Diceros bicornis minor: one gene and its partners. The protein of the gene in region 3 interacts with the protein of the main gene of each other region in a pairwise test. Links are inferred from orthologs where the notes say so. Each region holds a gene or a part of one and is shown on either strand. Other genes may lie near its edges. The genes, in order: CEP63, VIM, TXLNB and LURAP1.

Region 1 (7,358 bases), on a different chromosome or scaffold from region 3:
GCAAAAACCCTCATGGTTACCTTTGGAGGTTGCTAGGCCACCAACTCATTATCGTAGTCTGAAAATAGAGGGAAAGAATTAAGTATTTTTCTTGCCTTTCCTGCACAAACTGTATTTCAAATAGCTGATGGCAGTCAAATAACTGGTGGGGAAAGTTCTTCATAAAAGATTTCCAGCTAATAAACACTGAAGGAATGATAGAACTAGAAAATCACCATTTTGCAACCCCTAATGCAATAATGGTTATAGGCAATCTAAATCCATGGAAAGAATTCACCATCGAGCGAAAGGCTCATGGGGAATTTCATGATGGCTGGATTGGGCTGACAACACCTGAAGCCACTACACTGCTCAATCTTAATATCACAAAAAGAGACAACTGAGACACTGCATGCCTCTCTGATAACTAATACAATAGGATGTGTACTGCAGCACCTAGGAAATCTTACCCCCACCACCAAAAAAAATCAAGGTTGAATCTGATCCAGCTTCTAGATCAGTGCTGTTCAACTGAACTTTCTGCAATTATGAAAATATTTTCTATCCACACTATTCAAATGGTAGCCACTAAGCACCTGTGATTATTGGGCACTTGAAACGTGGATAATGCAACCAGGTAACTGAATTTTTAGTTTTATTTCACTTTAATTCATTTAAATAGCCACAGCTTGCTGGTGGCTACTATAGTGGACAGTGCAATTCTAGCTTTAACTACTGGTTCACAGGAAATAAAGGGAATAGATGTACATGTTAAAGGATACCATGTGGATGCAATCAGCTAAATCTAGAATGTTAAGGGAAAAAAGGGAGGCAAGGACTGCTATATTAAAAGATTTAAAAGGTGTATCAACCAAATGCAACATGTGGATCTCTATGGGATTTTGATCCAAACAAGTTAATTGTAAAAAGACATTTAAGGGACAGTTGGGGAAATCTGAATCCAGACTGAATATTGACATTATGTAATTTTTTTAATTTTCCTAGGTGTGATGACAACACTGTGGTTTTGTAAAACTGAAAAAAAAAAACTTAGCTCTTGGAGGGGAAAAAAAACCTAACATAACATAAAAATCAAAAATTCAGTTCCTGAAACCTATATTAATGTTGGCTTCAGCTGAATTTCAAATCAAGTTAACATTTTTTTTTTTTTTTAAGTAGGAAGCTCTGATAGAGTGGACTACTGATGCTGTCACCACCAGCCACCACTACTACACAAATGAGAATACGGATGACCAAGCAAACGTCTCCCACCTATTAATGGGAGGAAAATGGCATCAGTACAATTAACATACACAATTATTACAAATAATTTTAAAACTTGAATCTACATACATCTTAAAGGGCGGTGTGACTGTCTGAATGTTTATAAATCTCTAACCTATTTTAATTTGTCTTTTACTATCCTGATCAGTGATAATGATATAGTCAAAGGGCAAGAAGCTCAGGATAAAAATCAATCTAAATATGGTACTGCAAGCTGAATAAGAAAATACATACACCTTATCGTTAAGCTACAGCTACGATAAGTAGAAATGTAAATATTTGAAAGTAACATGTAGTTGATGATCCTTATGACGATTTCCTCTTCATAGCTATAAAATAAAATTAAATGTAAGCATGTGGGGAACTGCATAACTACAGGGTACCTACCCTACAATACTGCTTTATTAAAGGAATTAAAAAACTTTTTTCAAAGACCGGTTTAAGGAATCGGATGTAAGGCTCAATGAAAACTACTTTGTGCAAATAAGTGCACTGTAACTGTAAACGGAGACCAGTCACTGACAGCAGACTCTTTACTCTTCTGTTGTAAGAGACATAAGCAAAACCACGCTATGAGCCTAGATTTACTGTCTTCAAATATCTTCATGATTCAAGTGTTCCTACAGAACCGTCCCTTTTAAACTCTCACTCTATCATTTATTTCCCATCCCTGATCCGTATGGAGCAATCCGTTAAGTTCAGGGTTCCCCAACTTCAGTCCTTCACGATTTCTGCCACAGTTCCGTATCTCCTGTACTAACATTAACGTTTGTAAAGCAACTCCCTTGCTAAAAATCGCTAACCTCTCCACCACACATGAACCGGTATCACCCGCCGTCCAGGACCTAAGTCGCACCTTGCTAGGGAGCTAACAGGGCACGGAGCCCGGGCGGGAGGGCTGTGCCGGGGTCCCTCCCCCGGGGAGGAAGCCTGGCTCCGCCAGGGAAGGTGAGGGCCCGAGAGCAGCTCGCCCCCGCCCTTCCGCCCTCCCGGCCTCCCAGCCTCCCAGCCTCCGGGTAGAGGCTGACCACCTGGCTGGCGCGGACGGCGCGCCCGGCACCGCCATAGTCGCCTTCGCGCGGCCGCAGGGCGTCCGCGGCAAGGACGAGGGGCGGGGCGCCGGGGCGGGCCCGGGCCGGCGGGGGCGGGCCCGGCGGCAGGCGGGCAGCTCCGGAAGCCAGTCCCGGTCCCTGGGGCCGCGCGGCCGGCGGCGCCACTGCAGCCAGAGCGGCCTCCAGCCCAGAACCCCTCAGGCCCTCGCCGGCCCTACGTGCGCACATGCGGTTACGGGCTGCCGCGAGCGCGCCCCCGAGCCTTCCCGCCGTTACCTCCGGCCGGGGGCGCGCACGCGCGTCACCGCCAACCTGACGTCCAGCCTCCGTCGCCGGCACGTTCGTTCCGCCCACTGCGCCCTCACTTTGAATTGACACTACGTCCTCCCTGACCTCCCCTCCGCGCCAGCAAATGGGCTCACCCACATCCGGGGATCGGAGAAAAGGGCGTGCGGATCACGTGATGAGGAGGGCGGGGTCTGGCGGAAGTGGTGCGATCTGGGTCGGGTACCGGTAAGGGTTTACCGCGCTGCAGGCCTAGGTTTTGGAGGGGCGGGATCGCGTTGTTCCTCAGCGTCGCGCTTCTCCAACTTCCGTCGGCCGAAGCTGAGGCTTTCATTTCGTTCTCATACTCATTCGCCTATCACACGCCGGGTCCGGTGGAGAGGACTCGCGTGGCGGGCCTGGACCTCCCCCGCTCCGCTTTTGGTACTTCCAGCCCGGGCCGGAAGGCGCGGCGGGGGCAGCCTCACCTGTACGACGGTGGTGGCCTGCGAGGGTCATTTCTAGTGAGGGAAAACGCCTTCCTGCTTTGATCGCGGAGCTGCGCGTTTACAGAGCTCTGGAGCACAGAGAGGCCTGCCCCGGGGGGCGCACGCACCGTCTGTCTGGGAGGACGTGTAACCGGCGATGTGGCAGCCTCCCGTCGGGACCGTTCATGAGCCCTGGGAGCCATGGGACCCTTGCAGGGGCGGGCGCGCGCGCGCCTGGGTCTGGGGGAGGGCCTCCTGCGGGAGGCGACCCGAGAGTTTCTAGACTGACTGGGGATTAGCTGGGGAAAAAGAGTAAAAAGCCTTCCAGGCATTGGGACTGTCACGTGCGTAAGAACAGTTTGTTCGGGAAACTGGTAGTGGTTCGTTCTGTCGAGTGTGGCAAGTGCTTGGGACAGTGGCCGTGCCCTGGACATCGCCTGTCTTGATGCTTTCCACTCTTCCAGCCCCTTAAGAGTGAAGGCAATTTAGCGCCCAACTGTGGAAGGAGGACGTTGATCCGGAAGAGCTGACGCACACTTTGAGTTTGGAGGGAAAAGTAGGTGTTAGTGCTGGGGGAAAGAGGGTTTTAAGTGCAGAGGCTGGCAAGTATGAGAGGGTTAGAGGTGTTTGGAAAAGGAACGGGTGAATAAAGATTGAGGACACATTGGGGGAAGATGTGCTGAGGCATTGATACAAAATTTACACATAACAATCCCTATGCATACATAGCTTGTCAAGCCATGCTGTGGCAGCGTCCCATATACAAAATAGAGGAAGGTGGGCACAGATGTTATCTCAGGGCTAATCTTCCTCAGCAGAAAGAAAAAAAAAATCACTTGGAGACAATTATACCTGAGCAGTGGGTTGCAGAGGCGACCTGACTTGTTTAGTAGATGTTAAGGACAAGAAGGAAGCATTTGAGGGCCGAGTGCCTGCTGAAGCTGCTGTGATTTTAGAAAACTTGACAAAAAGATGGAATCTGTGTGTGACTGGGAAAATCGGCTGGTTTTGGTCACCTTAGAAAATTAAGGAGGGTATCCCCAGGGGCAGAGCAGCAAGGACGAAGGAGTGGCAGCAGGAAAAGGGAGGGGTCTTATAGGACTCCAGATTTTGGAGTCCAGGGACTCCAAAAGTATAACTGGAACTGAGGGCAGGAACTCCTTGTGTGTGGATTTCCTAAAGACAGGTTCCTTGGCTTTCACTTGTCCACTGGGCAGTCCTGGATTAATCGTTGAGTTAAACGTGAAGACCTCATCATGTTCACTGGTGGCAGAAGTAGCTGGGCACCTTTTGCTTCAGTTTTGCCTGGATCCTTATCATGGGGGCAAAACCCTTCTGCCACTACAATCTGTACAGTTATTACAGGTATTAGGGTTACCTTGCAATCACACTACTGGGGACAAGCACAGGCCTGTATGAAGGAGTTGGATTCTGCACCTGAAGATTGTTTCTTGTATGAATCTTCATAGTCTCAAACTGGGAATAAAAGAGTGCCTTTGGTGTCATTGGCTTCCAAGCCATCAGGATGGCTGCTTTGTAGCAGGTGGCACAGTAGGGTGGTGTCTGGTGCCTGTGATGAAGAAGCAAGAGCCCAAACTTGGAAACGAGATGCAGAGGTGCCCTCCAAGCTGGCAGCAGCCGTTTAGGAGAAAAATAGGGAATCAGCTGTAGTCAAGGAGCTAAGTAAGCCGCTTGACTGCTTGGGCCAGGCATGGAAGGGAGTATGGCGTTGAGAATCAGAGGAAGGAACCCTGAAGGGAAACAGACACGAGCAGCATGGGGTACTGCCACTGTTGTTCACCTAGAGGTGCTCCTTTCAGAGCTCAGGCTGGGCGCTGTTTTCAGAAAGGAAGCAGTTTCTTTTACAGGCTCAACTGAGGATTTCTGTCAAATCTGTCGTTGGTCACTTCGTGTAACCCTGTTCAGCATTATCTCAGTGTGTTCATTTAGCTCCTGTGCCTAAGAATGCTGAGATTAGAGCCAAGGCAGGTGGAGACTTTTGTAAAAATGGTGCAGGAAAGGCTAGAGGGGCCAGAGAGGAGACTTGGTTATGCATCAAGGACCCATCAAAGGCATCTCAAACAGGGAAAGGTGAGTGTGCAATTTAGGAGAGAAAAGCTACATTCAAGATGTACTGTGGCCTTGTAAAGGAGGCCCTCAGGTATGTTGGCCTCCTGTCACGCTGTGACACTGGTCTGTCAACTGGGCTATGTCTGATGTCTGTCCGATAACACTGTAAAGCTGAGCAGTGAGGGGGCAGGAGGAAGGGACTGTGATCTTATAAAGTAAGTTGTCACCTGACCCAGGCAAGAGGTGAGTCGTTCCCAGGGTGATGTTATCCCAAAAGACATATCCAGGCCGAAAAGCCTGGGAACTCCGAGTGCGGGATTACGTCATCTCAGTCTTCGTGTTTAAGAAATAACCTCTTTGGCTTACAGATCTGACAAGATAAAGCTGCCGGAGAATGGACAGTGAGGTCCAGAGAGATGGAAGGATCTTGGATTTGATTGATGATGCTTGGCGAGAAGACAAGCTTCCTTATGAGGATGTCGCAATACCACTGGTAGGTTATAGTTTGTGCTGAGGATGATGGGTTAAAGGTATGATCTGGTGGGTCCTGGTAGAGGTAGGAATCAGTGGACAAAAAAGCTAGCAGGGCAGAGAAATCAAAGCTGTGGAGTCCTCTAACCCTAGAAGCCTCTGGAGCGCATTTAGCTCAAGTCTTTATTTGAAGAGAACTGTGGTTCAGAGAGCTGATATGACCACCTTGGCTAGGGGTCATGCCAGGCATGGAACACAGGTCTTCTGAGCCGTGTTCTATCCACCACACCAAAGCTAGTAAACTGGATAATGAGAGTTTAGTGCATTAGAAGGAGAGGAACAAGAAGCAGTGGCATGAGCACTGCATTTCTAACTTCTCTACCTGTGGTTTGTCAGTTGACATTTTTAGAAACTCGCACTCTTGGTACACACACCTATCCCAGGTTCCCTGGAAAATATTCAAAAGACACCTGGCTTTTCTTCTTTTGCATTTAGACCAACAGGCTTCTGGAATACTCTTTTCTTTCCCAATCTCTGGAAAACTCTCCTGCAAGGAGTTTGTTAAACTTCATGAATAAGTTATGTAAAAGTTTTGCTTGTATAAATGCCTATTAAAAAGTCCTATTTATGTCATAAGAGGCCTAACAAAAAACAAGGAGAACAGGATTTAGGGACTGTTTTTCTTTAGAGCATGCCAACTGCCCTGAGAAGAGCCATTAATAAAAAATAGCTTGGAGGTAGATGATCTGCTGCTGTTATTTACAGAGAAATAAAATTCAGCTCACCCACATTTTCATTTAAGAATAGGAGATAATAATATGTTTGATGGATAAAACATATCAAATAATAAGTCACAGCTTAGTTTGAGTTTACAAAAATAGTCAAAAGAGCATAATGAGAATTATAGCTGCTACTTATTGAATACCAGTTTTATGCCATGGACTGAGGTTGAAATTTGACATACATTATCTCTGATCCTCAGAGCAACCTTGCAGGGGTGGTGGTGTTACCCCATTTTACGGGCAGGAAATAGGATCAGAGAGGGGACCTTGTCCACAGTCTGGGTTGGACTTCACACCTAGGTCTGTGAGGCTCCAGATCATGTCCTGTAAACTTTAGTTCATTCTTTCACTCGACAAGCATTTTTTTTAAGCCTACTGTGTACCATGAGACTAATTGAACATAAGATGTAGTTTCTGTCCCTAGAGGTCTAAAGAGGTAACATAGATAAATAGTTATAAAAAGTGTCCTAAGTGGGGGTCATGAACAGCTATGTAGTATTGGAGGTGGTTGATTGCCTGTTGGCTCTCAGGAAAGGCTTCAGAGAGAATGTCAGAAGGGAGGATCAGAAGTTTAGTCAGGTAGACAAGGGCACTCCAGCAGAGGGGACAGAGGTGCAAAGGCTCCAAATTTGTAAAGGCTTTGGGAGATGGTGAGGCATTCAGTGTGGATGGAGAATATGTTGTCATATAAGTAGGCAGAAAAGTTGGGCTCGGACCAGATTTGAGAAGAGTATTTGGTGCCGTGCTTAGACCTCATCCTGGGGATATCCAGGAATGAGTGGTCTTCAGAGTGGAAGTCTGCCATGCTCAGTTTTGGGTTTTGGAAAATCAGTTTAACAATCAGCATTGTTAGAGAATGTCTGCCGTGGAGAAAGGGGCAAGTGACAGGGCAGAGAGACCAATTAAGAAGCTATTGCAGTGGTCTAGGCAAGGGAGGAGGGCCTGAACAAAGATAAGAAAATGGAGGA
Region 2 (7,743 bases), on a different chromosome or scaffold from region 3:
GTGTTTCCACCATTTATGAACTGCTGCGTGCCAAAGATTTTATTTCCCCTCAAGGGAACGTCATGAGGATTTTTATACCTCTTATCTTGTAAGCAATTATATTTGGAATACAGTTTATAGCCTTACAGTCTTAAAATGCTGAGACAGTTCTAACACCTTCATGGAAAAGTGAATAAGAAATGGGTGATAAAAAGATCAGGCTTGGGGAAAAATATTCATTTTTGCTTGTTGTTAAGCCCTAAAAAAGATATAAGATAATTTACTAACCTCTATAAAAAAGTTCAGTGTGACATTCTAACTCATTGAAGAGAATGAGGGATTTTTACCTAATCCCTAAATAGGAGATCTTTCGTACCAATATTGTATATTTTTATACAATTTTTATATTAACTCACGACTCTGCGGGAAACATTACAAATATATGATCATAAACGCCCAATGACTAAAATGAACCACATATTGCTGTGTTTAAATTAATTTGGCAAATGTATTTCTGCTTCAAAATATTATTCTAGACTATTCATCTGAGAGTGCTTTTATAGCCACTATTAAGTGTTCAGGAGAACAAAACTATGCTGAGAACTTTTCCTGCTTTTGAATTCCAATTTCAAGTTAAAAACCCTTAAGTCCATCTAACTGCAAAGCAAAAAAACCCTTTTAATTAAAATTCCATTCTTCAGCCTTACGGTTATTCTTTATTTACAGAGAAAGTGCTAAAGAATACAAGAACCCAACGAAGAAAGGCCTTTCCATATGTGAGGTTATGACTGTAGCTTTAAGAACTTTCCACATCACATACTTCACAAGTCAAGGCCAGATATTAGATAACGGATGTTAGCAAATACTTGTGTCCAATTAGAACTGTGCTTACATCATTACATATTCAATAAGAATGTAGCCTGCTGCAAAGCTTCTCTGGCAACACAAAGACTCCTATTATTTCTGTCCAGAGCCACCACACTTGCCAGAATGTCTGTATCTACATTCCATAGTGAAGCCCATAGAAACCATTAATACCATTCAGCCAAGGGGACAGATGGCTCCTTTTCACCCTTCTTAGATCACAAAATAGTAGTGCATAGCGAAACTTCCCTCTAACTTTAATGCCACAGTGGAACTTGCAGAGAACAAAGGGAACTTGCTGGCTTAATTCCAGTTCAACTAAGTTTCTTATCCTCCAACACGTTTTATGTTTTAAATTAGAGGGCATAATTGCGCTTTTTGTGGCCTTGTAAAAGTTAGCCACCTTGACTTCAGCAAACCGCAATCTACATCGAACTGTAACCGTTCGGAATCAGCGTGTCAATGGGCTGCAAAAAAGAAATGGAAAAAAATATTTCTTTGGAAAAGATCTTGAAACAAAGTAAAAAGTTAAAAAGACTTTCTGTCCTAAGGAACGGCTTAAAGCATTCAAAGGTTTTTATGAGAAGCTCCAATCTGTGGTCTTTCTGCCACTAGGGGGCTTTGCGCACAGACGTGAAGATTTGCACTCTTTAGACTCGGTTTAAGTAACTTTTAGAATTGCCCGCGGGCCGGCTGGGTGGGGTCCGGTGGCTGCGAGTGGGAAGAGAATCTACAAACCTGTCTGAAAGATTGCAGGGTGTTCTCGGCTTCCTCTCTCTGAACCATCTCCTCCTGCAACCTGAAACAGTCGCACATGAATCAAAGGGGAACTGGGAAACCGCCGGGGGCGGGGCGGCCACACCCAACCGCCCCCCGCCGCGTCCCGAGACAAGAGTTGCTGCGCCACCTCCGTGGGCAGCCAGTGACCGCGGCTTTTGGGACGGCAGCCCTCGCCAAGTTTTAGCGGGACCTCGGCCGCAGCGTCGAAAAGCAATCACGGTCGCCACACCCACCTGCAAGGCCAACGCCGCCCCCCGCCCCCGCCCTCCGCCCCCGAGGAGCCTCTGCAATCCCTTTGTCTCGCTTCCTGCACAGCGATCCCCTCCTCCTCCCTCCCGCCCTAGGGCTGGCAGCCCGCCAGGTGGGGCCTGGCAACTTTCTAAAAGTTTGGGGAAATCGCGGGCTTCGACTACTGACCAAGTGCCAGTTTTAAGAAATCTGTAACTTGAAACGGGGCGTTCTTGGGCAATGAGTGGGGGTGGAGGGGAAATGCTAACTCAAGCTCTGGGTTCGGGGCGGGGCTGCGCCGCTGCAGCCACAGCCTCGCTCCCCTGCTGTCCCCGAAGCAGCCGCCGCCCCGACACATCCCCGAGGGCGTGGCAGCCCCTCGCGGGGGCCCGTTCCCCCTCCCTCCCTCCCCCCCGCCCTGCATGGGCACTGCCTTACTTCTCCCGGAGCCGCATGATGTCCTCGGCCAGGTTGTCGCGCTCCACCTCGACGCGGGCCTTGTCGTTGGTGAGCTGGTCCACCTGCCGGCGCAGCTCCCGCATCTCCTCCTCGTAGAGGTCCCCCAGGCGCGACTTGCCCTGGCCCTTGAGCTGCTCGAGCTCGGCCACCAGGATCTTGTTCTGCTGCTCCAGGAAGCGCACCTTGTCGATGTAGTTGGCGAAGCGGTCATTCAGCTCCTGCAGCTCCACCTTCTCGTTGGTGCGGGTGTTCTTGAACTCGGTGTTGATGGCATCGGCCAGCGAGAAGTCCACCGAGTCCTGCAGCAGCCGCACGCCGGGCACACTGCTCCGCAGGCGCACGGCCGAGGAGCGCGTGGCGTACCCGCCGCTCGGGGACGAGGAGTACAGGGTGCGGCTGGTGCTGGGGCGCAGCGCGCTGCCCAGGCTGTAGGTGCGGGTGGACGTGGTCACGTAGCTCCGGCTGGAGCTCGGCCGGCTCGCGGTGCCGGGGCCGCCGAACATCCTGCGGTAGGAGGACGAGGACACGGACCTGGTGGACATGGCTGCAGTGGGTGGCGGTGGGCTGGGCGGCTGCGGCGGCGCGGACTAGCTCCGGGAGGAGAGGCGAGCGAGGGCGCGGTGGGTGCGGGCGGTGGGAGCGCTGCTGCGTCTCTGGCGCGGGGACCCCGGAGCGAGAGTGGCAGAGGACGGGACCCCGCCGAGGGCGCAGTTTTTATAGGCCCGTTAGGAAAGAGGGTCCCCTCCCACTGCCATCCCAGCCGCGGAGAGCGTCAGCCAATGGGGACCCGGCGAGAAGCGAGGAGGGTGGGCGGGGGATTGGGGCGGGGGCCCCCTCGAGCCTTCCTCCTCCCCCCTTCTCCATTGCCCGGGGCTGGGCACAGTCCCGTTGCTTCTTGGCTGGGTTGGAACTTTAGGGGACTTTCCTGATGATGGTCCGAGCTCTGCTCACCCCTGGGTGCTGAAAAAGGCGGGGTCGCGCGGTGGCGGGGGAACCGGCCGGGGACTGGACAAGAGGAGTCCTGGGCAGTGCGCCAAAGAGGCGTGGGAGGAGGCGCGCGGGTGGGAGGGGCCCGAGACTGCAGGGCTGCGGTGGGCTGGGAGCGGGTAGGTGGGGAGACCCGCGGGCAAAGGGGCAGGAAGAGGGGGAGTAAGGGATCCAGCAGATCGGAAGGCGCGGAGAAAGAAACAAAGAGCGCCTGAGATTGGAGCGCGAGGTGGGGGCGCACACAGCCCGGGATGCAGGGCTGGGCTCCGCACAGCCTAGCGCACCGGCCGCTTGGAAAGGGGGACCGCCGCGCCCTGCCTCTCTTTGCATCCTCTTGTCTTGGGGGTTCCCGTTTAGGGACTTAACGGGCTCGGTCCGGCATTGGACGGCGCGAGCTTCGAGGCGGCGGCCGAGGAAAGCCCGGGGGAGAGGGGTGGGGTGGCTGAGTCACTGCGCCCTGCTGGCCGCCAAGGTTGAGGGCTCCTAGCGGTTCGAGGAAACCGTTAGACGAGACAGACTCAAGTCTCCGCCGGCCCCGCGCGCACTGTTTGTTGTGAGTTTCACCCAGCTCCGAGCTGGCGCGCCGCTGTCTAGTGTGCGCTTCGCCTGTGGGGAGACGAGAGCGGCCGTAAGTTCTTAAGAACTCGCCAAAGTCTGATTTTGCTCCAATGTGGGGACTTCTTAGCAAGAAACTTCTGCAGACCCTCGAGAGCCGCCCAGCATGGGTCTCCAACATCATGAATGCACTCGGGGAAGGTTTTTCTTGCGAAGTTTCCTCCCACTCTCCCCTCCCGTCTCCGCTCAGCCTCCCTCCTCCCCCCGTGAAGCCACACCCGACTTTTAGCACGATCTCAAAGTTCTGGGTGAAAGAGGAAACTCAGCGTCCGTAGTTTCAAAATCAAATTCAGGGATCACTGGTTTTTCTGCTGTAGTGGAAGTCATTAAAGGTATAATCTGCGCCAATTATAGAAGTAATTAGATGTTGCTTCAAAACCCCAATTTGATTAATGAAAGGCAATTATATAACGCAAATGACGGGGTGTTTGGAAGAAAGAGATTTATGTGTTCATTTTAGTTCAGCGTTGCACACTGCAGGATTCTGGTGACTTATCTGGAAAATGTCACAGGTCCCTTTGGCCTGTTTTCCAGAAGAATTCGTGCCATCGGTCTGGGAGTGAGGGAAGTAAAACCGTCTATAGAGCAAAAAACTTCTGGTTTAGGGCACCAGGGGACTTCAGATTCCACCACCAAGACCCTTCTAGGCAAATCAGTCAACTCAAGGGTTTTTGTTGCAATATTAGTAGCATGCAGAACAGAGTGGTTACCCCCAAAAAGAGATGAAGAGAGCGAAGGCAAGCCAGTCTTTTTGTGAATAAGTAGCAATTTAAAAATCACAGGGTTTTTTTTGTTTGAGTATTTAGAAGACTTAGGGAGTACTGAAAGGATTAACTCCAAAATCACTGTAAAAATAGAAGCGTCTTGATTCCATAGTGAATAGATAGGGGGAAAAAGTAAGATCATTTCCTCTAGTTTTTTTTTTTTTTTTTTTTTTTGGAACGGGGGTACTAGAGGTTACTTGGCATTTAAGAAAAATAGTTTAGAACCAAATGAAGGGTTTATTCTAGCTTCTTTGTACAAGCCTCTTTTAGGCAGTATTTTGTTTACCTCATTTCAGTTAGTTCTGGCCAGTGGTGCTGCCAAGGTCGAGCTGGAGGACCCTTTGCTGCACAGCTCACCTACTGTGGGATTCCTTTTTTCTCTGGGAGGCTGTGGGTCACTCCCAAGAAGCATTCCTGGGGTGTGGCGCCCTGGCCGACTAGCTTATGCTCCATGTTAGTTACCATCTTAATCTCTGAGAGCCCTTTATTCAAGCCACAGCTCAGCAAATGTCACCATTGCGAGTCCGCCTGGAACCCTTAGGATGAGAAAAAGCCATCCCTCTATGGGGGAAGGGTGGTGGACCTTTCTCCCGCCTAAAATGCTGATCCCAGGGCAAAGCAGTGGTGCTGTCAGGGGATGCTTGCTGACTTACTCACTATGGAAAATGAGGACAAGGCTCTGGTGCAGTGTGGCAGTGTGCCTTGTTGGTGACCACAGCAAATTCCTCTGGGCTATGGTGACCTCCTCTGGGAGGGACTCTGGCCGTCCTCTTCATCTCAGGGGTATCCCCTCCCCTTTCTAACCTGTCCTCAATCTGTATTCTCAGGACTGGGTTATGTTCACTTGCTGTCTTGGTCAGCTCAGGCTGCTCTAACAAAATACCATACACTGGATGGCTTAAGCGGCAAACATTTATTTCGCACAGTCCTGGAGGCAGGAAGTCCCAGATCAAGGTGCCAGCCAATTCAGTGTCTGATGAGCGCCTGCTTCCTCGTTTGCAGATGGCCACCTTCTTGCTGTACTCTCAGGGGGCAGAGAGAGTGCAGCCTCTTCCTTTTCTTATAAGAACACCATTCCCATCATGGGGGCCCCACCCTCATGACCTCATCTAAACCTAATCACCTCCCAAAGGCCCCACCTCCTAATACATTGGAGATTAGGGCTCCAACATATGAATTGGGGGTGGAGGGGCACAAACAGGAGGGGCATTTGCCATACAGCGCGCGTGCACACACAGATATGCAGTATCAGGTGTGTCCTATTAGAAATTGCCATAGCTTAGGATGGACCGTAGAACGTAGAGAAGTAAAGGTTACAAAAACACTTCTATTTTTTCATGTAGAATGCGTGAGACTAGGAAAGAATTAATTTCATTCTGAGATAAATTATACACTACCCAGCACAGTGCCTCAACCAATGGGTCATAGTCATCAATGAGGGAAATCAATAGGTAATAGTCAACGATGGAGGAAATCAATGGCTGATAGTCATCAACGAGGCATATCAATGTGTCTGAACTAGCATCTTTGACTATAACTAATCCTGCTATATTCTTGCCCCATGTTCTTAGTTAGCTTTTAGAAGTAAACAGTACGTAGACATAGCTTTCTCAGTTTTTGTATTTATTTTTTGATTGCTGTGAAAACATCTCAGGAGTATATTTAAATGCTAGAAGCTGCTACAAACACTGCATGATGTGAGTTGTGCTAAGGACACAGTGATACCATTTGTAGACCCGGCGTAAACATTACCAAATCTGAAGTCCTCACAGCGATGTTGGAATTTGCAAGCTGTGGTAATGTCAGTTGAATCGGGCGATTTGAGCTGATGGACCAGCCAGCCATGCAGAGAGGAGCTTAGTGGCCTGTGGAGGCTTTCGGAAAGCTGGCTGGCAGGAGGCCACGCCAAGAGGACAGCTTCTAGCTGGATCGTCTGGATGGAATGTTAGAAATGAGAAGGTGGATAAAGTGAGATGGTGAAAGCTTAGCAAAACCTGAAAGGCATGGTAATAAAGATAATAATAATCAATAATATAATAAGTGCTTTCATTTTTGTGGCTACTCAATGACAGGCACTTTGCAAGCATTTAAGCTAATTTAATGCTCTCCTAGCATCCTGCAAGATACAGTTGATCATGTTTTACAGACGAGGCGTCAAAGACACAGGGCTAATGATGTGCTCATGGTAGTGGAGGAAGGAAGGGAGCAAGCATTTGAATTGAGGTCTTTCTGACTCCAAATGCACTTTTCTCTTTGCTTGGTGATGAAATTTTGCTTACTCTAACCAATCCAATTCACAAGTATTATTTAGGGGCCTACTGTGTTTCAGGAGCTGAAGAGAGAGAATAACTATCAGATTATGTCGTGAAGGAGCAGATTCCTAGAGGAGTTTGGAAAATACTTAGAATATCATGTTTTATGTTATTTAAATGATGTTATAATGATTCATAATAGAGAAGAAGGGGGTTTGGTTTTCACCTGTACCCTAAATCTTTACTTGGTGAGTTAAACATTTTCACCTAGATTCCTTTCTCTCTCTTCAGAGGCATCATATCCAAAATTGGACTTAGCCTCATCTCACACCCTAAAACCCACCAAACAGAGCAGCTTCCCCCTCGAACTTCTCTGTCTCTTCAAGGCAACATAGCAAACTAACAAGATTGGAAACATTCGTCATCTTTGCACTTCATTACCCTTGGATACTTCAGATCCCATCACCCAGATCCAGATCTCTCTGGATCACATCCTGTCCCATTGCTTCTTGTGTCCACTCCTCTGTTATGTTGCTGTCACTCACATCCAGGCCATTTTATACCTCATCCCTGCAATAATGTAATTGCCTTCCCTTTCTCCAGGCTCTCCTTACTTCCTCCAGTGTGTCTGTCTTTGAGCCAGAACCTCTTTTTCTTAATTACTGCATTCTTAAGACTCCCTGAAGATCCAAACTAAATCACTCATTCCCTGAGTAGAATGTAGGCTCCATAAGGGCAGGGAATTTTCTCTCTTTTGCTCACTCTCCTATCTCCAGTGCCTACAGAGAAGCTTGGACATTTGTTGAATGTATGAA
Region 3 (6,978 bases):
TGTACTTGCGGCCCTCAGCAAGGACTCGTTAACTTGGAAGGAAATGCTTTTTCTCTCACCCATTTTAATTCACCAACTTTATTACCAAATGGTGCAATAAACAGCTTCACTCTCTTCATCACTGGAATTTCTTTATCCTGACCTCTACGTGTTGGGTATACTCATCTATACATAACTTATGCCTACTCTGAACTTGGAGAAAGGGTTGGGAAAATGTTTGGGGGTGGAATATTTTCGTTTCCCCTTGCTACTGTGACAATTTACCACAAATCTAGTGGCTTAAAAACAACACAAATTTATTATTTTACAGTGTGGAAGTCAGAAATCCAAAATGAGTTTCACTGGGCTAAAATCACGATGTCGGTAGAACTGCATTTCTTTGGGAAGATCTTGAGAAGAATCCATTTCCTTGCCTTTCCCAGCTTCTAGAAACTTCCCGCATTCCTTGGCTTGTGGCCCCACGTCACTCCGACCTCTTTTGGAGTCATCAACTCTCCTTTTCTGACTCTGACCCTCCTGCTTTCCTCTTTCCTTTGTAAGGACCCTTCTGATTACATTCAGCCCACCCGGATAATTCTGGATAATCCCCCCATCTCATGATCCCTTATATCTCTAACTTAATCACACCTGCAAAGTCTCTTTCACCATGTAAAGTAACATATTCACAGGTTCAGGAGACTAGGATGTGAAAATCTTTCAGATAGCATTATTCTGCCTACCACAAGGGGGGTGTCACAATGCCCAGCCTGTACCAAGAGCAGACACTGATGGAGGAATCTGCTTTGCAAAGTATGGGAACACGTTCTCCAGAAACAGAAAGAAAAGGGGAGTGGATGCAGGTTAAAAGAAAGAGGCATTTTATGGTGAATGAGGAGGAGGTGCTTTTCCTGGGGAGAATTAAGGAGCAGGTTGAGAGCTTGGAAACAGTGGGAAAGACTTGGAAAAGCTTCCAAGTCTTGGAGGTGGGGAGTCTTGGGTGTGTACGGTGGGAAAGCCTCCAACTAAGGAAGAAAAAGCAGACTGCCTCCCCCAGGGCTTACCTGAGATGGGAAGGCAGTACCTGAGACTAGAAGGCAGTCACCTGAGTAAGAGGTGGGATCAGAGGTCCCTCCAGTTACCATGAACGTGAAAATGACACGAAACCCACAGCCTAAATAACCGTCTAAATTTTTATTTCAAATTTTACAAACAAACCAAACAATGACATCAGAATAAAAGTAGTTCTAGCACCTCCTTTTTGTTATGCCATTGTTTTTTGTTTTCCATGATTCCTTTAAGAAACCTGACACTAATTAGGCTAGCGTAAGAGGGGAAAAAAAGGAGATGAATCAGAAACCACACTGGAAATGAACCAAGAAATAAGAAAAACCGATCTCTGCCCAAAAGAACAACAATGGTGAAAAATCGTGCTAGCAAAGAGGCTGTATACTGAGAGTTTACATTTTCAAAAGGATGAAACATGGGGAGTCTGATAAGATCTATCAGCTGCTCCTCTTTTCTGAGACATTTGCCCAGGAGACTGCTACAGAAGCTTGGGTGTATTTCTCTCTTGCTGTGTCATAGGATGTGCCTCTACCCTCCCCGCCCCCTCCCTGCTCTCCTGCGGCCTCGGTGCCTGTGTGTGTGTGTGCGTGTGTGTGTGTGTGTGTGTGTGTGTTTGGTCTCTCTCCCCTGTAAGAACACAGCTGCCCGCCTGTCTCCTGCTGTTGCTGCTGCTTTGACTAGCTTTCTGCTGCCTCTTGCCTCTCCTTTCTCTTTCTGCTCAGCTCCTTGCCTTCTGGTAAGTGTGACAAACACTCCCCCAAGCCCTGTGAGAAGGTGTTGGGTGCGGTTTGTGGTGTTCGAAACTTGCACCTTTGAGATTGCCAGTGAACTGTTGAAGAACTTTCCATTGTTGTATTTATAATTAAACTGTGTTGCTCAGGAAGGGACGTGTGTGTGATAATCTGCTGGGACTGCCAGTACACGTGAAAAATTCTCTCAGAGGACAAAAAAGACAGGCAATAAAGTTTATAGAAGATAAAATTTAGAAATAATTTCTTGCTAAATTAATCAACATGGAAGGAGACAATTTAAAAGTAACAGAGGTGTTGGATTTTGTTTTTTTCCTCTTGTTGATTTATCTTGAGGCTACTTTTACGAATTGAGTTGTCCTGTGGTTTATAACAACTCAGTTATTCTATTTTAAAGCAAATGTGGAACATGAGTTTAAAGGATATCCACGGAATTAGTAGAAAAAACATCAATGATTATGGCCTCTGATGAATGAAGAATAGATCAAATACAAACAAAACACTTGCATTTAGACTAACGACACTAAAACTCCTCTAGACAATCAGTTTAAATTCCTTGCTTTGAAGTTTGGTTAACTTTAGATTTTATTTCATCCTAAGAAGCCTCCTAACACTTTAAAACCCACATCTGGATTTAAACCAGTAAATGTTTGCTGTTTTCAATTTGTATTAAAAAGTATTCTCTTCCTTTGATTTTCAAAGATGAAGTGCTAAATGCCAGGGCTCCTTTTAGAAGAGCTTAAAATAACTCCTGGCTGGACAGCAGGTGCCGTGTGTCTCTCTCCAAGTTCAGGGGAGGCGTAAGTTATATATAGATGAGTGTGCCCAACAAGTAAGTGTCGGGATAAAGAGATTGCAGTGATGGAGACAGTGAAGCTGTCTACTGCATCATTTGATAATAAAGGTGGTGAATTAAGATGGGCGAGAGAAAAAGCACTTCCTTCTAAGTTAATGAGTCCTTGCTGGGGGTCACAAGTGGGTGGCAATGTCTGTATGTTGAGTTTTCTGTTCTTGGTGTTCAAGCATTTGACATCAGCTGCCCTGAGGCTGGGGGGAGGAAGCTGTGCAGTGCACAGAACAGTGTGTTTTTGTTTTCGCTCTCAAGCCACACAGCAGCAAAACCTGTGCATTATGAGGACCCTGTCATATTTTTATGCTGCTAATTAGCAGCATCACCATTAAATATCACTTACAAATGAAACGCACCATAACTTAAAGGCCTAAGCCAAATCTATTACAACCCTAGAAATGGCAATAGCCATAAACTCTAGAACCCTTGACTCAGCTAGTCCCTTATCCCCTATTTCCAAAGAGCCCATATTATATCTGGGTTATTTCCCTAGTTCATTCCCTCCCTGTTCATTAAACATTGCTATTTCTTAAAAATTAACTTATCCTAGGGCTTCTTGACTGAGAAGGGAAGGTTGCAATGTTTTTTTCTAAAAGAAAGTTAGTTTTTATATTGGAACAAAAAATACGTTATAGAAATTCAAGGAATTATTATTATGAGTATCACCATGTTTTCATACTAGTTTGTGTGTTAACTTATATCTTCCCTCATTTTCTGTCTTATTTCAAAAACGATGCTAGTTTGAACCTCAAGAATAGTGTTTTCCTGATTGATAATTACACGTTACTCATCTGGGAAAAGGAAAATACCAGAAAAGCAACAAAGTATCTCCTGTAACCAGTATAATAATTCATTTACATCAATGTACTCATATTAATCAAACCTTCATTTATAGATTAAAATAGTTTAGGAATGTTATTGTTATGAATAATTTTAGTAAGTTCAATGGATTTTGCATTAAATGTTTTAACTTTGAAAAAAACAACATTTAAAATTTAAACATTTTAAATGTATACATCCATGTACTTCCAATGACTGTAAATCAACATAGAATTATATGAGAATTGCAACACAAATGGGCTATTCTAAGCAAAATGACAAATATGTCCACCAAAAAGACCAACACCAAAGTATGCTAAAAGACCCAATTTGGAAAAATGGCTTCCTACTGTTCCTACCTACTTAATTGCAATATTGATGGTTTGTGAAAGTACATTCACTCTATGTTAGAAACTGTAATTAGTAGGTATCCGTTTGAGGCTATCCTTACCATTTACATTTAACTAGGTTAACTACATAAAACCTGCTGGGCTTCCACTAGATTCTACTCCCGGTATGGAGACGAATCACTCTGTGCCACTCCCGGGGGACCCCCAATCGACACCTCCTGGGGACATTTCATCATTACCCGCTCAAAATGACCTGGAGAAGCAAGATGATCAGGCTTCCTCAACCCCACTCCGAGCATCAGAGGAGGAGGCAGGTGTGCAGCCTGAGCAGGGAGCTCATGATATCTCTGAAGAGTTGAATCGACAACTGGAAGACATCATCAACACGTACGGGCCTACTGCCGGCACGGCAGGGAAAGGGGGTCCCACCAAGGCCCAGGAACAGCCTGAGAACCCAGAACCACCTGACAATGAGGACGGGGATGGCGAGGAGGCCACTGAAGTGACGGAGAGAGAACCCGTGGCTTCTGGAGAGCCCCTCACAGCCAAAGAGCCTGCCAGCAATAAAGAGCAAAAATTGGAAAAGAAAATCCTAAAAGGATTAGGCAAGTAGTTATGTTCTAATGTATGACTTTTCTTTGAATTATTCCTAAAAGGGGCACTTCCTCTAGCCTTTACTAGAAGCCACATGTCATATTTGGATTACTACAATAGCTTCCTTTAGGATCTCCCTGCATCTTCTCTTACTGTACTTGTCCCCAGGCGTTTCCCCTAGATAGAGTTAAAGTGAACTTTCAACATGTCACCCACCTACCCTCTGTCCTCAATGGCTTCCCACTGCTCTTAGGACAAAGGCCAGAATTCTTAATACGGTCTTTCAGGCCTTAAGCATCTCTCCAGCTTTGTGTCCCATCACTTTACCCCACAACGTCCCCTTCCTGGACACTCTGCCCCTGTCACCACCACCACTGCTACAGCCTAACAGCTAGACATTCTGAACTTCTCTTTCAGTTCTTTGAACTGAAACATGTTCTTTGAACATGCCATGCTCCATCACTTACAGGGCCTGGGTCCCTCCTATTTTCTCCACCTAGAAATTCCTGCCCATTCCCCAGTTCAGCCCTTTGGACACTTAACTCATTTTTCAGCTCACAACTCAAATGGCATCTTTTTAGCCCAACCTTAGATAAAGTCTTCCTGTTTTCTGTTTCTATTGCACCATGCATCTTCCCTTCCTAGTGTCTATCAGCATTTGAGAGTATGCATTTACTTCTGTGATTATTTGGTTCATGCATGACTTCCCCATCAGCTCTTTTACCTCAAGAGCAGAGACTGTGTATATTTGGATATCACTGGATGCCTGGTGTCTAGAACAGTGGATGGCATATGTTAGATGCTCAATAAATGTTTGTTATTAGGATGAATGAATGAGTGAATGAATGAAAGGAAAACTGTTTAAAGCAAAGCTAGTGGAATCTGGATTTAAACAAAATATAAATATAGGGATGGTTCTGTATATAAAATGATTGTCAATTAGATCACTTAGTAGTATGTTCCATTACTATATATTCTTTTATTTAACAAAACTTAGGAAATGTATCAATTATAGAATGTCAAAAATTGCAGAAAATATTTTTACTCTGGTTAGTTAATTGGTTCAGCAAAATATTCATTAATGTCTAGTCTTCATGAGGTACTGTGCTAGGTGCACAAAGATAAATAAATCTTCAAGACCGTTTGGTTAAGGCACTCTAGGTATGGAGAGAGAAACAAACATGCAAACTAGTTGTTACATAGGGCAGTGTGAGAACAGGCACATGAAAATTGTTAGGAGAGCATGGTGGATTGTTTACACCAAAAATGGCTGTGAAAGAGGGTGAGAGAGTTAGTTCTCTAGCTACGAGTGAAAGCATGTTACTGCACACATGAGAGTCCCTCTGTCTTCCTTCCTTGGTGAATTTCCCTGTAGCACTCTCTACAAATGCCACCTCTGTGATACATTCTCTGACATGCCCAGGTAGAGGAAGCATCGCCTTCCTTAGTTCTCCATTAATTTTTCTACAGTAATCTTTTATTTACATGCCTACTTCCCAAGCTGGATGGAGAATCTATCAAGGGCAGTGACCATGTCTTACTCATTTCTGGAAGACAGTGTGGCAGAGTGAAGGATCACAGGTACTGGAGTGAGAACTGGGTTCAGACTCCAGTAACAGGTTATCTGTAAACCCAAAAGTATGTCTATGCTGACATAGGACATCACTATGATGCTTAAAACCCATTGTTGGCAATACTTTCAAGAAGGGCTGAAAGGCACATTCAAATAGCACACCTGACCTACCCAGCGTAAAGATTAAAATAACCCAACTAATACCAAATTCCAAATCGCAAGATTAGCATCACTCTAGTGTTCTGGAACTCTGGGAAAGAGAATGAAGTTGCTTTGTTTTACAGAGCCATTTTTCCTTCTCTATCAAAAGCATCTCAGCAATATCCCTTTGCATTTGTCATTGTTAAACTTTCCATAAGACAACACAAAGTCACGTGGCAGAGATGAATGATTTCAAGTGTACCTAACCAGGAAAGTTCTTTTGCTTATCACTCTAAAACTACTTCTATATAGGAATCTGTATGTGTTGTCTTGGGGGCATGGATATGAAGAAAGCAGAGGTAAAGTTCAAGATGACCACTACTCTGTCTTCCCTGAATTATTTCAAAATCTATGGTAACCTTATAATTACCAATAATCAAAATATTTTAGAGAAAGAAAAAACTCCACAACTTTAGTTCTGCCACTATCTACAGGTTACCAAATTTCAATTGAATGTGTTTGATCAGAACCAATGTTTGTGTATCAGAGCGCCCAGGTGGGTCCACCTAATTACATGTGTGTAAACTGCTGACCCTTCCTTGGCATTTCTCTGAATACTATCAGCATATTCTTCTAAACACTGTACCATTTCAGCTACATTATGAATTAAAACAACATTTTTAGGCTAATCAAAATATGACAATATTATTTCAGTTGTCCGCAAGGGACTTGAGCAGGCTTCTTGGCTGTTTATCAATTAAATGACACTGCACCATCGTCTAGACCAATGATTTTCAAACTTAAGTGTGCACTAGAATCAAGTACAGAATTTGTCAAAAATGCTGTTTCCTGAACACA
Region 4 (7,166 bases), on a different chromosome or scaffold from region 3:
TGGAAACTCCCTTGGGGTTGGGGGAACTGAAGGGTTGCCCAGGGTCCCAGCGGTGGAGGCCAAATAATCGGCTCTCAAGGTTCACCAGCCCCTAAAAGGCCCAAGACCCAGCCTTCTCAGTCCTAGAGCGGGCACAGGGCAGCGACCCACCCCCCCCTCCCCGTCCTCCGTCCTCGCCCCCTCCTACGTGACCCAACTCTTCTCCTCCCGGGGCTCGGGGCTCCCGACGACTCGGGCGACCTGCCCTGGCCGCGTCACCCCTCCAAGACCCCCGCCCGGAGGCACTCACGGCTCAGGGGCCGCGAGCCTCGCGGGAGCCCCGCTCGGGCCCGCACGGCTCGGCCCGGCGCGCCGAGGCCTCCGCCTCCTCCATGCCGCTCGCGGCCCCGCCCCGGCGCGGCCCGGCCCGCCTCCCCGCTTCCGCCGCCGCCGCCGCCGCGGGGTGAGAGGGCGGCGGGCGGCGCTTAGGGCGGCGCGGGCGGTCTGCAGCCCGTGACTCCGCGAGCGCTCGGAGCCGCGGCCGCTTCGCGGGCGGCGGGATGGGGGCTGCTGGGGGAGGGCAGCCTCTCCGCCGCCATCACTGCCGGATGGCAAAGCGATGCGAGTCGGAGTCCTAGAGCCTTGGACCAGACCCCACGGCGCTCCGGGGTCAGAGGGGCGACAAGCCTGGGACACAGCGACCCTGGCCCCTTGCTTGGGCGAGGCTTCTCCCAGGTCTGGGGCATGCAGGGCCTTTGGAGGCCGAGGGACATTAAAAACCTGATTCTGCTAATCACCTAGACCTTGGGCAAGTCACTTCAGGTCTTGGCGTAGGTTCCCTTCTCTGTGAAATAGGGGTGTGCTGATATGATGCAGACTGTATGCCAGTCAGTTTTAAACACTTTACTTATATTAACTCATTTAATTCCACAACAACCCCATGAGGTAGGTACTATTACTAATGAGGCCCAATGTCACCAAGCTGGGAGAGCTAGAATTCAAACCCAAGCGGCCTGGCTCCAGAGTCCACTCTTAACCCCTGCACCATAGTAATACTTAGAGAGTTGATGTGAAGGTTACATGAGATAATACATATAAAGCAGTTAGCTTAACACAGTGGTTCTTGAACTTGAGTGTGCATCAGAATCTGTTGGAGGGCTTGTTAAAACACAGATTGCTGGGGGGCTGGCCAGGTGGCGCAAGCGGTTAAGTGCGTGTGCTCCCGGGCGCACATGGACGCACTGCTTGTCAAGCCATGCTGTGGCAGCCGCCCATATAAAGTGGAGGAAGATGGGCATGGATGTTAGCCCAGGGCCAGTCTTCCTTGGCAAAAAAAAAAAAAAAAAAGAGGAGGATTGGCAGATGTTAGCTCAGGGCTCATCTCCTCACAAAAAAAAAACACAGATTGCTGGGCCCCATTCCTAGAAGTTGATTCAGTAATCTGGGGCAGAGAAGAATGCTGCATCTTTAAGAAGTTTCTAGGTGACAGTGACACTTATTTGAAGTAGGTAGCCATGGAACAGTTTTAAGCAGGAGAGCAACATAATCTGATTTAAAAGAACTTTTACCTTTTTGTGGAGAATGTGCTAATAGGAAACAGGACGCCAGAAGACCAGTTAGATTTTTCTGAGCTCTCCGTAGTCCATCTGTTTTCTAAATGGTGGGATGATATCCCCCAAAATGTTAACAGTACTTGTCTTAGGAGTTGAGGCAATAGGTGATTTTTCCTAATGACTACGTATTAGAACAGAAGAAAACTCAATACATTTTGTTATCATTTGAAAAAGATGTCCCTCAGTGTTCCTCCCTGACTCTCGTCTCTCCTCAAACTCAGTCTCCCTGAAGATCTCATCCCCTCTCCTGACCTCGGTTACCTTCTTGATTCCTAGACTCATATCTGCAGTCCTAACCTTTCTCCTGCGCTCCAGGCTGACCTGTGTCCAACTGCCTGCTGGACATCTTCACAGGCCCCTCCAACTCAACACGACTCCTGCTGGAATCATCTCTTCCCACTCCTGGACCTCTTCTTGGGCTCCCTTGCTTGGTGAATGGCCTCAGGCCAAACAGCTGGGAGTCACCCTTGATTCCTCTTCTCTGTTCAGCAACCAGTCCACGTCTGTGTGCTCATCACTTTATTCTCTGCACCACACACAATGGCTAGCACATAGTAGGCTCTCCATAATACTTATTGAAATCTGTCGTTTTTTGAACAAATATTTATTGAATGCCACTATAAATAAATGAGTGTAATTAGTCACCAAATCGTGTCAATATTACCCCCTAAAGAGTCCTTCATTCTGGTGTCATTCTTCTCCAACCTCACAACCAGCCCCTGGTGCAGTCCTTTTCGTTTGCTTGCCTTCCAACTGCTCTCCCTGACTCCAGATTTTTACTCCTCCAATCCTTTCTTCTTGCAAAATCCAGAGTAATTTTTCAAAAAAGGAAATCTGTTTTGTCAATCTCTGATTTAAAACCCTTTCATGAATCAAGAGATGTTAAGGAGAAATATATTACTTAAAATTACGAAGGTAGGGGCCGGCCCGGTGGCGCAAGCGGTTAAGTGCGCGCGCTCCGCTGCGGCGGCCCGGGGTTCGCTGGTTCGGATCCCGGGCGCGCACCGACGCACTGCTTGGTAAGCCATGCTGTGGCGGCGTCCCATATAAAGTGGAGGAAGATAGGCACAGATGTTAGCCCAGGGCCGTCTTCCTCAGCAAAAAAAGAGGAGGATTGGCGGATGTTAGCTCAGGGCTGATCTCCTCACAAAAAAAAAAAAAAAAAAAAAAAAATTACGAAGGTAACCATTGAATGAACTAAAAATAATGATAGAAATAAATAGGGCCAATGGAAGAAGGGAAGTAAGGAGTGTAAGTAAGGTAAGTTGTATTTATCATAATAGGAAGTCAGTAGACAATTTTTAAAATGAAGAACTAGTGATACAGTATAAACCTATGTGGTGTTATAGGTATAAACACCAGAAAAAAATAGCTAAAAGTGGTTGCCTCTGGGGAGTGGGACTAGAGGTGGGAAAGGATAGGGCAGGGGTAACTATGTTTTCATTGTAAATCCTTCGGTAACCATGGACTGGAATTACTTGGATTAAAATCCAAAACCAAGCCAAACCATAAAAAGTTTTTCATGGCTCCTCATTACCTGTGGAATAAAATCTAAGCACCTTAGAACCATTTTCCATTACCTTGTTGCTCAAAGTGTGTTCCCTGGACCAGCAGCATGGCCATTGCCTGAGAGCTTGTTAAAAATGCAGAAGTCCAGGCCTCACCCCAGATTTACAGAACAGTAATCTGCATATTAACAGGATTCTCAGATAATTCATATGCACAGTCAAGCTTAAGAAGCATCAGTATCAAGATCACGTATGATCTGGCCCTTGTGGACCTCTTCAGCTTCAATACTGGTTGCTCCTCATTGGCCAGAAGAACTTTCCTTTCCACTCCTTTAGTCTAAATTCAGTGGCCAGGGGCCGGCCCGTGGCTTGGCGGTTAAGTGCGTGCGCTCCACTACTGGCGGCCCGGGGTTCAGATCCCGGGCGCGCAGCCACGCACTGCTTCTCCAGCTGAGGCCGCGCCCCACATACAGCAACTAGAAGGATGTACAACTATGACATACAGCTATCTACTGGGGCTTTGGGGAAAAAAAAAAGGAGGAGGATTGGCAATAGATGTTAGCTCAGAGCCGGTCTTCGTCAACAAAAAGAGGAGGATTAGCATGGATGTTAGCTCAGGGCTGATATTCCTCCCCCAAAAAATAAATAAATAAAAAATAAATAAATAAATTCAGCGGCCACACTGTGGGTGTATGCGTGTGTGTCAGTGACTAGCTAAATTCTAATCACTGTTTTAGACCCAGCTCATCTACTCCAGGAAGCCTTCCAAAACCCTCTGCAGCTCTTTTATCACTGTTCCTTAAATTCCCATAGCTCTAACTGAGGATGCTTAGCCTTCATTCAGCAAACATTTATTGGGCGCCTGCTGTGTGCCTGGCTGGATTCAGTGCCAGGGTAGGGAGAAGGCGTTCAGCTCTCCGAGGGCTCCTTCAAGTCCAAACCCAGAATCGCCCAGCCGCACGCATTCCAGGGCCAGAGGCAGCGTGCGCAGCACTCGAATATATATATATACACACACGCAAACAGTGTCCTGCGCGGCTTTTCTGAGCGTTACGGCGCCCTCCTCCCGCCCCTACGCGGCGCGGGCGGGGACCCACCGGTTCCGCTCCGCATTAGCAGCGGAGAAAGGAGGACCCCCGGGAGCGGGATCCCGGCGTCTGGCCGCCCAAGCCCTGTTCAGGCTTAGGCCCGCATGGAGGGGACTGCGGAGTCCCAGACGCCTGACCTGCGAGACGTGGAGGGCAAGGTGGGCAGAAAGACCCCTGAAGGGCTGCTCCGCGGGCTGCAGCGAGGCGAGTGGGAACCGGGAACCTCTGGCGCCCTGATGCTCCCGGGGGCGCCGAGGACGGGCCACAGCCTGGGGGACAAGATCGTGGCGCTGAGGATGGAGCTGGTGAGTGTGGGCTGCACCTGCCAGAGGGACGGAGCCCCCCCCACATAGGACCGGAAGGGACGGACTCACGCCCCCAGAGTTGGGCTGGAGAGGAGAGAGTTAAAATTCCCCACCTGACTCCTCAGGATCCCTCCCTGATCAATCCTTACACCCTGGGGTCCATTAATTACAGACCCCCGCACCCCCACTCCCACCCCTCACCCTCACCCCAAGGATGAGTGGGGTATTGATGGGTCCTGAGGACCTGGGGTGGGAGGCACAGGTTTTTGGAAGTTTTTCCTGCCAAATAATTGGGAGGAGAGAGGTGAGAACTGGGACGCCCTGAGAACCTAGCACAGCACAAATCTCCCCCCTACCCCTCACTACCGGGCTGCCTATCCCCCAGCCACCATTACAGGGCAACCAGTTTTTTCTCCTCCTGCAAATTGGGCCCAGGGTTTGTTCCTCTGAGGCCCCGGTATTCACACAAGATTCAGCACAGAAGGGATTTGGGTGAAAACTGCCTGGACTGGGGCCACCAAAAACATCCTCTCTCCCCAACATCCCCCCACACCCACTTAAAGTATTTGAAAGTTCCTGGAACCTTAGCAGACAGAGCAACAGCACCATCAGTGTTGGCCCGGTCACTGACTCAGTCTCTTCCCCCCAGCTCCCCAGGTACACTGGATATTTGGATCTCGTCTGTACCTCCTTGGGGAGAAGAGGAGGAAACAGGCACCCTCCCCCTTCCCTGTTGCTGCTGGTCTAGATTCAGAGCCAAAAGGGCACTTGGGGCCCCCCCAGGCTCCCTAGGGCCCTGGTTCCGGTGAAGGGGCTGATTTACATCTGCCACCACTTTGCAGCCAGTTCTGGGGAACTGAGGAATTGCCAGCCACTTTCTGGCCCAGAACCAGGAGCCCACAGTGAGTGTGTCAGCCAATAGATCTTCCTGGAGCCCCACTGTGTGCCCAGCTCTGTGCCAGGCTGAGCTGTGAGGGAGCAGCAGGGGTGGGTGGGGGGAGGTCATGGGGTCCCAGACAGCTTGAGAGGCTGGAGAGAGCCTTGTGGGCAGAGCAATCAGGGAAGGTTCCTTGGGGGAAGGATTTGAATGCCATGTGTGCACTTGGCCTTGAAGGTTGGAGATAAGTGCCAAATTCTCCAGAGCGGGGCTGTGACTGTGTCCACCCAGGGAGGGGCCTGGCTTTGCCTCATTGTACTTTTAGCTGAAGGCCTAGAAAGAGCCTATCTAGAGTGTCTTGCTTTGGAAACTAACTTTTACCAAGTGCATGTGCCAGGCATCATGCTGAGCACTTGACAAGATGTTCTTTTAATCCTCACAGCAACCTATTGGGTAAGTGATACTTTATAGATGAAGAAACTGAGGCACAGAGAGGATGGTAACTGCCCAAGGTCATATAAAAAGTAAAAAGCAGAGCTAGGCTTTGCACCCAGATGATCTGCCTACACTTTGCATCTTTCCCATTGAGACCTGCTGCTTTGTACCAGACACTTAAAACACATTTTATGTCATTGAGGTGAGAAAAGCAGTCCTCATATTCCCCGTCTCACAGATGGAACATGCTGGCGAGTGTTAAGGGGCTTGCTTGAGTTCCCACAGGCAGCCAGTGGAGGAGCTGGGCCTGGGCTCTAACTCTTTCCTGCCTTTGGTGGAGATCACCTGTTTGTAAACTTTAACCTAGTACATTTAACTTCTGATTAGATCTCTCTGCATTCTTGACCCAGCCTGGCCTGGGGCCCTGATTAGGTCTCTCCGCATTCTTGACTCAGCCTGGCCTGGAGCCCTGGGCTGTCCATGAAGGGCATGAGGGAGAGAGCCTTCTAGGGGCTAGAACAGGGTCGGGCTTCTTATGTGCCCCAAGGATCCCTGCCCCATTCCTATCTCCCTCCTTGGGCCAGGATGTCATTGATCTCTTTGCGCTCTGCCCTGCCCACTGGGTTGCTCCTGGGGAGGACAAGGGGTGGGCCAGGAGGTTTCCCTTGGAGCCGCTTGTGGCAGAACCGGCCCAAGCCCTCTAAGTCCTGTCCTTCAGCTGTCCCTCTCCTGCAGGGAGGGGGCAGGCCTGCCCTTGAGGCCAAGGTCATCCCTGCCTCTAGCCTCTTCCCTGCTGCTTCCCTCCCCTACTCAAAGGTCTAGTGAACCAGCCAGACTCTGAAATATATGGGGAGTGGAAACAATGGCAACCTCTGGCTACTTAATCCTCCCACCCAAAAACTGCTGCTATGACAACCAGCCCCCACAGAGCAGTTTGAGGAAAAGCTTTAGGCAAGGAGGGGGAAGGCTTGGGTTCAAGTCCTGGCTCTGCTCCTGAATCATTTTGTGATCTTGAGCAGGGCCCTGACTCTCTTGGCCTCAGTTTTGGTGCTTCTTGGGGGATGCGGGTCAGGGGATTATGGGGCCAGATGGTCTCTAAAAGCCTTCTTAGTAACAATAGTCTGGGCATCTCAATCCACGACCAGGGAACTAGGGCTGGGAGGATCTCTGGGCTTTTACCTCAGGGCCTGATTTGGATTGAGTGATGTGGGAGCCATGCTTGTGACCTCAGGGCTGGGCAGAGAGTCTGATGTGGACATGTTAAGGGGAGGAGTGAGCAACCTGAATCCCCCTGGGAAGAGAATTGGGTTGGAGTGGCCTCTGAGGCTGCATCTCTCCTGAGCTGTTTATCCCGTTTCCAA

The links.
Region 1: the proteins of TXLNB (region 3) and CEP63 interact in binary tests that used the Homo sapiens proteins (3 or more experiments, as listed by UniProt). The two-hybrid records come from large-scale screens. The link is inferred for Diceros bicornis minor from reciprocal best matches to the Homo sapiens genes TXLNB and CEP63.
Region 2: the proteins of TXLNB (region 3) and VIM interact in binary tests that used the Homo sapiens proteins (3 or more experiments, as listed by UniProt). The two-hybrid records come from large-scale screens. The link is inferred for Diceros bicornis minor from reciprocal best matches to the Homo sapiens genes TXLNB and VIM.
Region 4: the proteins of TXLNB (region 3) and LURAP1 interact in binary tests that used the Homo sapiens proteins (3 or more experiments, as listed by UniProt). The two-hybrid records come from large-scale screens. The link is inferred for Diceros bicornis minor from reciprocal best matches to the Homo sapiens genes TXLNB and LURAP1.

What each region holds. Positions count from the first base shown.
Region 1 is NC_080741.1:18,003,253-18,010,610, forward strand, and holds the start of CEP63 (centrosomal protein of 63 kDa), read right to left. Parts: upstream 3,017-7,358; 5' UTR 2,935-3,016; coding exon 2,738-2,934; exon of another isoform or gene 2,707-2,737; intron 2,672-2,706; exon of another isoform or gene 2,592-2,671; intron 2,200-2,591; exon of another isoform or gene 2,120-2,199; intron 1,112-2,119; exon of another isoform or gene 164-1,111; coding exon of another isoform or gene 21-163; intron 1-20. Other genes in the region: ANAPC13 (anaphase-promoting complex subunit 13), read left to right, coding at 5,532-5,630. UniProt on the Homo sapiens protein: Required for normal spindle assembly.
Region 2 is NC_080775.1:17,452,107-17,459,849, reverse strand, and holds the start of VIM (vimentin), read right to left. Parts: upstream 3,003-7,743; 5' UTR 2,853-3,002; coding exon 2,290-2,852; intron 1,643-2,289; coding exon 1,582-1,642; intron 1-1,581. UniProt on the Homo sapiens protein: Vimentins are class-III intermediate filaments found in various non-epithelial cells, especially mesenchymal cells. Vimentin is attached to the nucleus, endoplasmic reticulum, and mitochondria, either laterally or terminally.
Region 3 is NC_080778.1:19,217,720-19,224,697, reverse strand, and holds the start of TXLNB (beta-taxilin), read left to right. Parts: upstream 1-3,978; coding exon 3,979-4,417; intron 4,418-6,978. UniProt on the Homo sapiens protein: Promotes motor nerve regeneration. May be involved in intracellular vesicle traffic.
Region 4 is NC_080752.1:9,099,103-9,106,268, forward strand, and holds the start of LURAP1 (leucine rich adaptor protein 1), read left to right. Parts: upstream 1-4,162; 5' UTR 4,163-4,292; coding exon 4,293-4,493; intron 4,494-7,166. UniProt on the Homo sapiens protein: Acts as an activator of the canonical NF-kappa-B pathway and drive the production of pro-inflammatory cytokines. Promotes the antigen (Ag)-presenting and priming function of dendritic cells via the canonical NF-kappa-B pathway.